3 linked regions of the Rattus norvegicus genome follow. The protein of the gene in region 1 interacts with the protein of each later gene in a pairwise test. Links are inferred from orthologs where the notes say so. Each region holds a gene or a part of one and is shown on either strand. Other genes may lie near its edges. The genes, in order: Wdr4, Rabggtb and Fam118a.

The links.
Region 2: the proteins of Wdr4 (region 1) and Rabggtb interact in binary tests that used the Homo sapiens proteins (3 or more experiments, as listed by UniProt). The two-hybrid records come from large-scale screens. The link is inferred for Rattus norvegicus from reciprocal best matches to the Homo sapiens genes WDR4 and RABGGTB.
Region 3: the proteins of Wdr4 (region 1) and Fam118a interact in binary tests that used the Homo sapiens proteins (3 or more experiments, as listed by UniProt). The two-hybrid records come from large-scale screens. The link is inferred for Rattus norvegicus from reciprocal best matches to the Homo sapiens genes WDR4 and FAM118A.

Annotation. Positions count from the first base shown.
Region 1 is NC_086038.1:9,601,915-9,606,112, reverse strand, and holds the start of Wdr4 (tRNA (guanine-N(7)-)-methyltransferase non-catalytic subunit WDR4), read left to right. Parts: upstream 1-1,394; 5' UTR 1,395-1,433; coding exon 1,434-1,522; intron 1,523-3,210; coding exon 3,211-3,279; intron 3,280-3,894; coding exon 3,895-4,038; intron 4,039-4,198. UniProt on the Homo sapiens protein: Non-catalytic component of the METTL1-WDR4 methyltransferase complex required for the formation of N(7)-methylguanine in a subset of RNA species, such as tRNAs, mRNAs and microRNAs (miRNAs).
Region 2 is NC_086020.1:245,507,972-245,512,154, reverse strand, and holds the start of Rabggtb (geranylgeranyl transferase type-2 subunit beta), read left to right. Parts: upstream 1-1,375; 5' UTR 1,376-1,391; coding exon 1,392-1,394; exon of another isoform or gene 1,395-1,414; intron 1,415-2,123; exon of another isoform or gene 2,124-2,203; intron 2,204-2,304; coding exon 2,305-2,412; intron 2,413-2,638; exon of another isoform or gene 2,639-2,719; intron 2,720-3,357; coding exon 3,358-3,555; intron 3,556-3,634; exon of another isoform or gene 3,635-3,705; intron 3,706-3,914; coding exon 3,915-4,020; intron 4,021-4,132; exon of another isoform or gene 4,133-4,183. UniProt on the Homo sapiens protein: Catalyzes the transfer of a geranylgeranyl moiety from geranylgeranyl diphosphate to both cysteines of Rab proteins with the C-terminal sequence -XXCC, -XCXC and -CCXX, such as RAB1A, RAB3A, RAB5A and RAB7A.
Region 3 is NC_086025.1:118,038,859-118,042,393, reverse strand, and holds part of Fam118a (protein FAM118A), read right to left. Parts: intron 839-3,535; coding exon of another isoform or gene 830-838; coding exon 783-829; intron 179-782; coding exon 1-178.

The sequences.
Region 1 (4,198 bases):
AGCTGTTGCCTAAATGGACGTTCATGCCTGTGTGAGGGCATGGTGACCGGGGAGGGGGTGGGGGTGGTGGTGGTGGTGGTGGTGGTGGTGGTGGTGCCTTAGCATTAGATCATTGCTCTCTGTAGCCTGGCAAAGGGCTTCCATTTCTCCTTGCTATGATGTTTGATAAACTCAAGACCTGGCTTCTCTGATACAATTTAACTTCACCCATTATTTATCTTAATTACATTTGTAGGCGGTGGTCTCATTTGCACAAGTGATTTTTTAGTTGTTTGTTTATTTTTTTTTTTCTTTTTTCTTTTTTTTTTCAGAGCTGGGGACTGAACCCAGGGCCTTGCGCTTGCTAGGCAAGCGCTCTACCACTGAGCTAAATCCCCAACCCCTTGTTCATTTATTTATTATTTATTTATGTAAAGACAGGGTTTCTCTGTCTAGCCCGGGCCATTCTGGAACTCAATGTGTAGACCAGGCTGGCCTCAAGAGATCTGCCTGCTTCTGCCTCCCAAGTGCTGGGATTAAAGACTTGTGCCGCCACCTCCCAGCTTCCAGAAGTAGTTCTCATCAATCCATGCTGTTAGACAGATGTTGTGTAACTTGCTCAAGTAAAAACGAAGAGCTGTTCTGACTCAGTTTGAGGTAAAAATGGAGCCAACAACGGCTGCTTTATAAGATGGATTCACCGGGGTTGGGGATTTAGCTCAGTGGTAGAGCGCTTGCCTAGCAAGCGCAAGGCCCTGGGTTCGGTCCCCAGCTCCGAAAAAAAGAAAAGAAAAAAAAAAAAAAAAAAAAAAAGATGGATTCGCCCGGAGAACCTCCCAGCCTAGAGATAGCAATTGTACACAGTATAATAAGTGTGACTTTGAAATAGGTTTCGGGTGTGTTGGGTGGGTGGAGCAGATGAACCGTCTCTTTATGAGCTGTCTTGGGGGGGTCTACACCCAACCAAAAGAGACCACAGCATTCTGGACGTCGTGAGTCACTGGGATGGATGGAACGAGTCTTTTGGTGATCTGGGGAGGCACACCGTTCGATACACACGTGTGACAGTTGGGGTCCAAGACGTCTTTGTCTTTCATAAGGACCGTAAGTAGCACATTTCCAGCGATTTGTAATCACACATGGTCACATATTGGGCCTGGCCATCCAGTACTAATGTCACGCAGGTTTTTTTTTTTTTTTAAAACGGCACAAACTGAGTACCAGGCTCTGTCCAAGAGGAACCACCTAACCTGACGGGCGGAAAAGTCAATCAACGCGAAAGGCACGCGGGGAATCTATAGCATCAGCACCTCCGAGGTATTCAAATGCGACCTCTCCCTGTGCGCATGCTCCTGCCCCGCACGCCATTCGCGCGGTGCCGGGTGACGTCACTGGCCGGCGCCACCAGGAAGGGCGCTGAGCGTCGCACGTGTGCGGAGGCGGCGGACGGGCCCATGGCGAGCTCTGCGGGCCTGGCACTGTGCGCCCAGACGCTGGTGGTGCGAGGAGGCAGCCGGTTCCTAGCCTTCTCCACCGCGAGCAGGTAAGAGGCTCGTGCTGAGGGCGGCGAGGCCGGAGCGGCCATGTTCCGTGTCTTCCCGGATTCCTCGGCGCCCCTTCACCCGGACCTATAGCCCCATAATCTGCACGGCAGGTCCGGGGCGCGCTCTCGGTTTAGAGTAGGGGCACTTCCGGACTTTGTGGCGCCTGCGCGGCGTCGGGAGGGCTAAGTCACGTGGGTGTCTCATTGCCCAGGCTTCTGGGGGGTCCTGGCTTCAATCCTGACCCGTTTGGAATCTTCCTGTTGAGAATCATGTATTAGGGAACCCTGCAGGTTCTTACTGAGCGCAAAACGTGCTCCTTCTCCCTCATCTGCGTCCAGCAACCCGGCTTTTGTTGCCCTTCGAGTTTTTTTTTTTCGGAGATGGGGACCGAACTCAGGGCCTTGCGCTTCCTAGGCAAGCGCTCTACCACTGAGCTAAATCCCCAACCCCCTTCGAGGTTTTTAACCCGACACCTTCCAAACCCAGGATGCTTGCGGAGCCTGAAGTGGGCATCTCCCTAAAGGCCCTTCACATGACATAACGTTTTGCTTTGTTATTTCTGTCCTTATGTATACGTCGTGTTCGGTGATAGTATTCTTTGAGCAAGTAGTTGATTACCACCAACCTAGAGAATCAGTGGCAGTCCGTGTCGGCTTTTTTCCCCCCTATCCCGTTTAGCTTCGGTACTTAGATGTTTGAAGATTAGGAATTGTTCCTCAGTTTGTGCCTTTTGGGGAATGCCCAACAAAGTTTCGGACTTGGAAGATGATTTCTCTTTCTGCGGTTAAGTGTTTAACTGGAAAAGTCTTTGATAAAGCCGCTTTATGGGTTGTCAATAGTACCAGATGCTTTAATGTGCTAGGTTACAGGTCAGAGCAAAAGAAGGGAGCTTAAGTTCTGATTTGGAATGTGATTCTCATCTGAGTAAGGGCCAGAGGCTCATGGGGGCAGGTGAGACTTGTTTCTGAATTATGTAAGGACAACCTCAGCGGTTTTAAATTTGAGAGCAAAGCTGAGTTGAAAACAATTATCAGAGGGCTGGAGAGATGGCTCATAGGTTAAGAGAGCTGGCTGTTCTTCCAGAGGTCCTGAGTTCAACTCCTAGCAACCATATGGTGGCTTATAACCATGGATAACGAGATCTGGTGCCCTCTTCTGGTATGCAGGCATGCATGCAGGAAGAACATTACATATATAATAAATAATTTTTTAAAAAGAAAATATCAGAATGGGTGGGTGGCCGGGGGGGAGGGGAGTGGGGGAACTGGGGTTCGCTAGTGGACACCTTTGATCCCAGCACTCAGGCAGAGGCAGGTGGATATCCCAAGTTTGAGGCCAGCCTGGTCTACAGAGTGAGTTCCAAGACAGCCAGGGCTACACAGATAAACCACCACCATAACAAAAAACCATATCAGAACATAATTTAGAATTAACAGGTTGGTGGCTGGAAGAAGACTGCATTGATTCCAGGCTTGCACCGCCATGCCACACTGAACTGATTTAGAACAGGACCGTGCCGACTGTTCATGATGTATGCTGACAGGTTAAGCAGTGGCAGTCCTTGGCTCTTCTCTGTCATGGATAAGACCCATGATGTAATGACAGTGATGTGTTTTTGTTCCCAGGGTAAGATGCAGTAATCATGTGTGTTTGTTAATAACTGCTCATGCCTATCTCTTCCCTTTAGCGACGATGACTGCCTCTTCTCGTATGACTGCAGCACTGCCGAGAAGAAGTCCGTGCAGGAAGATAAAGGGTGAGATGGTGGGGAAGCATGGTCGCTTGTGGTTTGAGCGCTGAGACCGGTGAGCCTGCTGAAGTCCTGGCTCCTGTTCCCTTGTTGTGCATTCCAGTTCAGAAAGAAACATGGAAGCAACTTGGACTGTGGGCATTCAGACTATGTGGGACCTTCCCGGGGAACTTTTAGGTTCTTTTGTTTTAATTTCTTTAGTACTCATTTTTGTTACTGGCTCCTTAAAGTAAGAGTGACCGTTTCAAACGAAATGCACTGAGGGCAGGTGTGGGGAGTTAACTAATTGAAAGGTAAGAAGCAGCGTGTGACTGTTTTGTGTGGTGGCCTGGACTTGTGACTCAGTGTGTCATGAATTTTATCAACCCCTGCTTCTAGCCTTGGATTAGTCCATGTCTATGAGGGCTAGGCCACGTGATCGCTGAGAGTCCTTCCAGCCCACACTGGATATTAATTAGCATTTGTGTTAGGTTTCATGCTTGGGTCCCCTTAATCTCTCATCATGCTCTGGCTGCACGAAGTGCCTGACCACGCGCCTTCTACTTACCTGTGTTAGAATGGACAAGCCCGGCAACTCACACGAGGCCTAATTGTTTTCCCTTTCTTCCCCTGCCCTTTCAGGGAGGACGGACAGCCCGCAGACAGGGGGAGTGACACGATTCTGGCGTCCACCTTCTCCAAGTCTGGCCGCTATTTTGCTTTAACTGATGACAGTAAGCGTCTGATTCTTTTCCGTACAAAACCATGGCAATGTCTGAGTGTCAGGTATGAAATGCTAACACCGAGTCATTAAGATGTCCTATGCACTCCTAGTACTTGCATGTCAGTAGCCATAGTGACAGTAACCACTGTAATCAGCAGCTAACATGACGTACCAGCCATGAGTGAGACACTGATCGCAGAGCTTTACGAGTATTAACTGAGT
Region 2 (4,183 bases), on another chromosome or scaffold:
TTTATTTTGTGACTCACTGAGTTTAACTGGGGCTGCCTGTATGACCATGGGGTTGGAGCAGTCCACCGATGCCTGGTCAGCTTACCAGCAGGCACACGTCTGAATAATGACTCCCCATTTCCCAGTGTGTGTCTGTACCCATTAGGTCAGCAGAGAGGGGCAGGGCCCCTGAGTCCCTTCCTCATCCGTGACTGTCCGTCAGGGTCATTTGTGTGAAGCTCAGTGCAGATAAACACAGTGGCTCTGAGTTCAAGGCTGCAGTGGTTGTCATGCTCAGAAGATGGCTTCTGGGCCTTTTCCTATTATCTTCTCTTATATTCTTTCTGCTGCCCTCTTTTATGATAGTCACTAGGCTTTTAGAGGTCATCCCTCAACTAATGTATTCTCCAGATAACCTTGGGCAGTCGTGAATCTCTGTATTCACTGTCGTCCCCTGCATAGAAAGGCTTATCTGATTTGGGCTGAGAGTAGCGTTTTCTACGGGCATAAGCATAGATATTCAGAAGGCAGTCAACAAACAAACTTCAAAATGAGAAGCTTGGCACACAATTTGTATTTTATGACTACAGCATTTTTCAGTTTAGACTGGCCACATTCAAATCCCTGACGTGGCTGTATCTGACATCTTGGCTTTGGAGAGATAGAAGAATTTATAGACCTGTTTTATTGCAGCAACAGTTCTTTGGGGTCGGGAGGCATATTTTAGTCTTTGAAGAGGCAAAGTGGACTGGGGAGATAGCATGCCTAGCATTTTCAGTTGTGAGTTCAAGGCTTGGGGCTTTTAAAATAAATATTAAAAGTTAGAGTTAAACCATACAAATTTACCAATACAGAGTGGAAAAACTAGCCTTATTCTAGCGGTTTCTGGAATCAAACCCAAGCATCCATTTTCACATGGTATTTTTCCATAGTAATATATGTGGCAATATATTTTTCATTAGCTGGGTAACAGACACACTAAAATTGATCAATTTTATGGGGAGTAGGTAGGGACCTCTAGCTCAGGATGGCTTCCAAGTGCCTACACGGCCGATGATTTGGACCACTGATCCTCCTGCCACCACTTTTCCACTGCTAAGATAATAGGTCTGCACTAACACTTCGGGTTTATACGCAAAGGTTGAAATCAACCCCCGGCCTCTTTGAGTGCTAGGAAAGCTCTTTACAAACTGAGTGACATGGGGTCCTTCAGGCAGACGCATAGCCTGCTGCACCGTGACCGCGGAGTCCTTCAGGCAGGAGTGCGGCCGGCTAAATCGTGACCGCGGGGTCCTTCGGGCGGAGCGTGGCCGGCTAGGTAGGGCGTGGGCTGCCGGGCGGGCGCCTGTGCGCAGGCGCGCAGACCCTGACTTTCCGTGCTCCCGCGCTCTTCAGTCTTTCGGCGGTCGGACATGGTGAGAGCGACATCGCTTTGGTGCGCGGAAGTTGGGGAGGCCTGGGCGGTGGGTCAAGCTGCTCCGCATCGTGGGCTGGCGCAGCACGGGGAGCGGGCGGGCATGCAAGGCTAGCATTCTTCTTGCATTCTTCTTGTGAGCTCTCAGCAATGCTCCTGCCTCGGCCTTCTGAGGCCGGTCTTAGACCGCTCCTTGAGCAATGGCTCAGCGTTTTCTGCAGTTCTCGAGGGTTGTGATGTTATCCGCGGCCCGTAGGCGAGCCTCTCTGGATTGAGCCGCCTTTTTTTTTTTTCCCTTTGCATCGGAGACTTGTGTGTGCCTGTTTTTTTCAGGGTTCAATGATCATTTACGAATATTGTTTCAAAGTTAAATATTCTAATTGGGATGGAAGAAGGCCGGCCTTGGCCCACGCCTTTTAATCGTATCACTCCTGAAGCAGTAGCAGGCAGCCTGGTCTACACGGGGAGTTCCAGACCACACAGGGCTTCATAGCCGAGACTCTGAACAAAATAGAAAAATAACTTATTTGGCAGTGGATTTGCTTTGACCTACTTAATGGGTGATGGCGAATATCTTAGATCCGAAGGTGAAATTTGGAGCTAATGGGCCTGATCGTTTAGTAAAGGAGATAATATTTGAGGACTGTTGAACAGTGCACTGAAGCTTCAAATTCACCGATCGAGAGTGTGTATTGCACTTGGTCGGCAAAAAGGTGAGCGGCAGAATTCGGGTCAATGATGAGCTGGCATGTATTCTGAATCTAAAGTTGATTAATAACCACTTTAGCTCTAGAATTACTCTGAGACCCGAAAAAAAAAGTGCCGTCATCTGGTCATACGAGTCTGGGCTGTCAAGTTTTCAGGATGTCGAAAGGAAAACGTAATGATCCAGTCTCTGTTTTTCTTCGAAGGGCACACAGCAGAAGGACGTCACCATCAAGTCAGATGCGCCTGACACCCTGCTGCTCGAGAAGCATGCTGATTATATCGCCTCGTACGGCTCAAAGAAAGATGATTATGTGTGTATGAGTTTCTTGTTAGTTTAATACTAATGGACAGGCCTGTTTCTTAAAGCGTTGTCTGTTGGCAGAGGCCTGATTTAAAGTCCATTAGGATAGATGGGCCTGGTATACTAGAGGTTGATACTGGATAGCATTAGCCTTGCATACCGGTACACAAAGGGCCAGAATACAGGGATGCAGGTAGAAGGGGTTTACTCCTTTCTGTCTGGGGTATAACCTTGAAGGTCAATGATGTGTTGGCATGTATTATCTGAATTTGCTGATGTGTCCTAACATTTGAGCTCTAGAATTACGCTGAGACCTTGAAAAGGTTTTACCTAAACAGTATAATAGGGAGGTTACCACACCCCTGTGATAATCTCCAGCAAGGGGTAGAGCTGGAAACCCCGGGCTTTGTGGGGAGACCCTCTCCAAAGAGGAATCACATGGGTAATCAGACCCTTATTTTGGGAGGGGGGGAATCATAGGCCTAAATGGTCCTTATGTCAACTGTCCGCCTGGCCCTTTAGGCGTTTGGTTTGGCTTGGCAGCACACCAATGACACCTGTACCTGAGTGAACGCTTGTGAAATGATGCTTGATTTGGTTTCCATCTCCAGCACCATTTATCTCTCCGTATTCATAGACCTTGTAAAATGCAGTAATTGGTGTTTGGTAGACTGAAGGAGTGAATGTTGCCTACTAAATTCACCTGAAGTTGGCACTTGGAAACTATTAAAGTTTGTTCTCAATCTTCCTGATGCTGCAACCCTGTCGTACCATACAGTTCTGCATGTTGTGGTGAGCCCCAACCATAAGATAGTTTCATTAGTTCAAGACTTAATTTTGCTGTAATGTCGGACCCAAAGGGGTGAGAACCGATGCTCTTAAAGTTGTTCACAGCTGACCTAGGTAAAGGTGGGTTTTGTAGTCAAGAGTGACAAATTTAAGACACTTCTCCCAGGAATACTGCATGTCCGAATACTTGAGAATGAGCGGCGTCTACTGGGGCCTGACAGTGATGGACCTCATGGGGCAGCTTCATCGGATGAATAAAGAGGAGATACTGGTGTTTATCAAGTCGTGCCAGCATGAGTGTGGGGGAGTCAGTGCCAGCATCGGGCACGACCCCCACCTTCTCTACACGCTCAGTGCTGTCCAGGTAAGCCCTTGTGAAACATTGACCCTATGTGACGACCCAAATGTTAATTGCCCGCCTTTAGAGTGAATTCTCTCCTACAGGTCAGTGATGTCATGGCATGTATTAGCTGAATGCTAACTTGATGCAAGTTACAAATGGCACTGAGACCTGGGAGGGTAAAATGCATCTGTGTCAGTCCAGGTTAGAGTTGGTTTTAGTGAGGAGCGAGAGGGCGGGTAAAGCCTACCTCTGTCAAATTATCAAAGGAATAAGAAATTGTAATGAAATGAGTAACAGCCGGCGCGTGTGAGCCATTTATAGTAATGGGGAAGGGCATGGTGGTTGGCCCAGGACAAATTCCTGCGATGCTTGTCTTTCAGATTCTCACTCTGTATGATAGCATCCATGTAATCAACGTAGACAAAGTGGTAGCCTATGTTCAGAGTCTACAGAAAGAAGATGGTTCCTTTGCTGGAGACATCTGGGGTAAGATCGGCTTTCACTTTTTTTAGTCAAGCTACTCCACTCGGAGCATCTTTTGTCTTGGTGTAGTAATCATAAGATTTCAAGTTGTTCATCTTTTCAGGTCCCACTAAGCAGTTGGTCTAACTGGAGTAAAATGGCCTGCTGGAAGTCCCAGCATGCCCCG
Region 3 (3,535 bases), on another chromosome or scaffold:
TGCCACGTCCCCAGGGTGCAGAACCTCCAGCTGCTCTGCAGCCTCGATGACGGCCTCGATGCAGCTCCTCCAAGAGCAGAGAGCCCGGATACCTGGGGCCACCGCTGCGCTCACGCCGGTCCCAATGACCAAGAGCAGGTCCTGGGGTTGCTTCCTAATGAGGCTCTTTAAAAACTTTCTATTTAAGAACAAGGAAGAAGGAAGCCAACTGTAAGCTTGGAAGTATGGAGATTCCAGTCTGGAAATATCTAGAACATTCAGGTCACAAATTTGCCTTTCTGTTCACTACCAGAAAGCAAAGTCCCTGCAGTCTACAGTGATAAATAATTTACAGGTGACTATGAACAAAAAGTTCAGCCCTCTCCTCCTCTGACACTGCAAATAGCTGGTAAATCAGCACTGTAAGGAACAGAGTGATCTTGTGTGGTTACAGGCAAGAGAATTTCTAAGTGGGCCTCCTAAAGCCCACTGCATTCTCCAGGTTCAGCAGTTCACTCTGCATCATTTTCCAGTAAGTGAGACCTGTTGTCCATGCACAGTCCTGTAGCCCTTCTCCACCCCACCCCAGCCCCCAGTTCCATGTTGCTTGGACTGGAGATGGGGGCTCGGGTAGCTTCTTGGAGCAGAAAGCTACTTTCTGGAATGTTTCTTGTGTTGGAGCAAACCATGGTGAGCAGCCATGGGTCCCCTTCCCAGTCTCCCTACTGCTGGGGGCAGTGCTACATGTCCCCAATGTGATGTGAAGTCAAGAACCCTCTACAAGGAACTAGCTACTTACTTACCTGCATTTCTGTTCACTTCTGTTCGTTGTCTTTTCCACTGACTCCATCTGTGAATCCTAAAGAGAAGAAAGATGTTTGATGAGTGCTCGGAAAACTGTAGAGGATGAAACTGAGTCAAAGGTCCTGACTCCCCTTTAAAATACCCAGAAAGTGCCATCCAGAAAAAGTCCTACACAAGTGGTTCCTCTGTGGCCACTAACCTTGCCTAGCTTCCCAGGTCAGGTCTTGAGTGTCTTCTGAAGATAGAAACAAAAACATTCACACAACAGCCAGATGGAGCAACTCTGGTGAACTGGCTCCAGGTAGTGTGCTTTTACCCTGGAAATGTCTCTTTAAGACAAAACCATCTAGAAGTCTCCCTGAATTCTAGAGCTAGTATTTATTATACAAGGAAATAGGCAGAGAACCTGGTGTGAAGGCCTACAACTACTATCACTGAGAATTATAGTGCCATTTCCCCCTTTTCCACCCAGCTTTTTAATATTTTTCATGTCATTTGAGAGCCAAGTACATGTCCTAGTTTTAGTTCCCCTGTGTTGTTAGAAACTACTCAAAACTAAAAGTCAATGTCACACAGGACTGAAAACCTGTGTTCACACTCAAATCTTTATTCCTCTTGAATTAGAATTAGGTCACCAAAAATAACTCTAGGAGAGACCACACAGCTCAACAGATCTCTAAATCATACCTTCAGTCTTGAGAAAATGGTATCCTGTAGTCACCCATGAAAACATTTGCACACATTCACCCTCCCGCCTTTGAGGGTACACTCACAGCTTCCACCAAAATCTCTGAGGGTCCATGACCTTTCCTCGGTGCTAAGAAACCAGTTCATGGATCAAAACCTGAAGCTGGTGGAGGATGCCACCTGCCCAAGGGACAGAAGGGCAGGGAGTGTGGCCTCCTACATCACTACAGTTACCATATAAAATCAAGTCTATTTTGGCTTTGTAATCTATTGGAAATTTTCTAAGGCAAGTTATGACTATTCTATTTCATATAACCCCTCCACTGCAAATAGAAGCCCCATGGATCCCACCCCAAGTGTCCAATGAGCCCACATATTTATCTATTCTGCTACGAACTGTAAAGCATGGATTCCTGCTAACTGGCCAAACTTCCAAGCTCAGTCCTCTTTGGAGAGCAAGTACTCTGCAAACCAAACTGCTGGGCCAGGCAGTGGGGCTGTGTCCCAAAGCTGAAACCAAGTGTCAGGACCCCGAAAGACAGAACACTGAGCTATCCTGCTGCATTTCCTGTTTGAACTTAACTTGAGCACACTCCGTATCTTCAGAGTGGTTATGCCTTCCTGTCTGGGGGAGAGCCCTTCATCTTAGCCTGCTCTAACCAGCACTTTATAGCTGACTTCAGCCACTGGCAGTCTGTGTGCCCTAGAAATGACACAGCCTCAACCTTTACCACATAAAAGATTTTTAAAGTTTCTAATTCCTTCCTCCTGTTCAACTGCTTTTCACTCACCATACACCTGTAGGTATCAGTTAAAATCCAAAATGTGTACTTCAACCTCTACAAAGTAACACAAAAGCAAGTGATTTCAGTTCTCCAAGAGACCCAGAGACACAGAACAGAAGGGAGCTCTGGCCTGCACAGGCATGCTGTGGCTGGTCCCTGTTCTGCCCTGCCTCAGCATGAGTTGAGGGATCTGGAGAGTCTCTGCAGCCAGCCCCAATATTACAAGGGTTCCCACCATAATGAAGAGGGGCCTCTGTCTGGGCTTTTAAGCTGCTGAGGACCTCAAGAGATCAAAGCAGCCAGCAGGGGACGCACAAGACTTCCTCTCAGGACCCATGTGGTGATGAACTGAATAGCTGCCCATATTTAGCCATTTATAGTTCTTTATAAACACTACATGCTTAAAGACATTACCTCATTTCCTGTTTTTCAGCAGCCAAAAGATCAGAGCCAGATCTCATATAATTATCCAGAGATTGTCCAAAATCTCCCCTTTGTTTATAAACCAAGGCCCAAGTGAGAGATTTTCCTAGCCTGACCTCTACTGGCAAGTTTTTGGAGGCCAGTCTATCTCTGATTTACCAGTCCCTTCTCAAAGGCCACTCTTTTAAGCCAATCAGATTCCAGACTACAGCAACAAAACCCTTCAGAGGCCTCTCAGATGCTGCAGCTTTCTGTTTCCTAGGTGACCATGTCGTCACTAGTTTCCAGACTCAAAACCAAGTCATCATAGCAACACATTTTTTCATAAAAATCTACCAGTATTTTCTAAATGTAAATTCACGCCAAAAGCAGATCTCAAAACAGTTACTATCCTTTTTATCTAAAACCTTCAGCAGAGTCTTAGCAGAGTATTTTGTGCCTAGAATAAGAAATCCTACCTATATTATGAATGAGCTCTGCAGTAACTAGACTGCCTTGTTTTTTTTTTTAATCCCTTGACATCCAACACTAAGTACATGTTCATCAGAAGGGCTGGAGAGATGGCTCAGTCAGTGGTTAAGAGCATGTACTGCTCTTACAGGAGTCCTGACTTTTGTTCCCAGCACCAATGTCAGCTGGCTTATCACCTCTAGCTCTAGGGGATCTGATGCCTCCACGGGCACCTGTACTCACATGCATACACTCCCACAGTGTATACTTTAAAATATACAAATTTTAAAAACATTTCATCATCAGAGTTCAAAAGGTGACTGAGTACAGAAGAGGAACTGATCATCTTCATAAAGCTGTGAAGCAGAAGCCCCACTTTCAAGCCAACACAGTAGATCACTGACAAT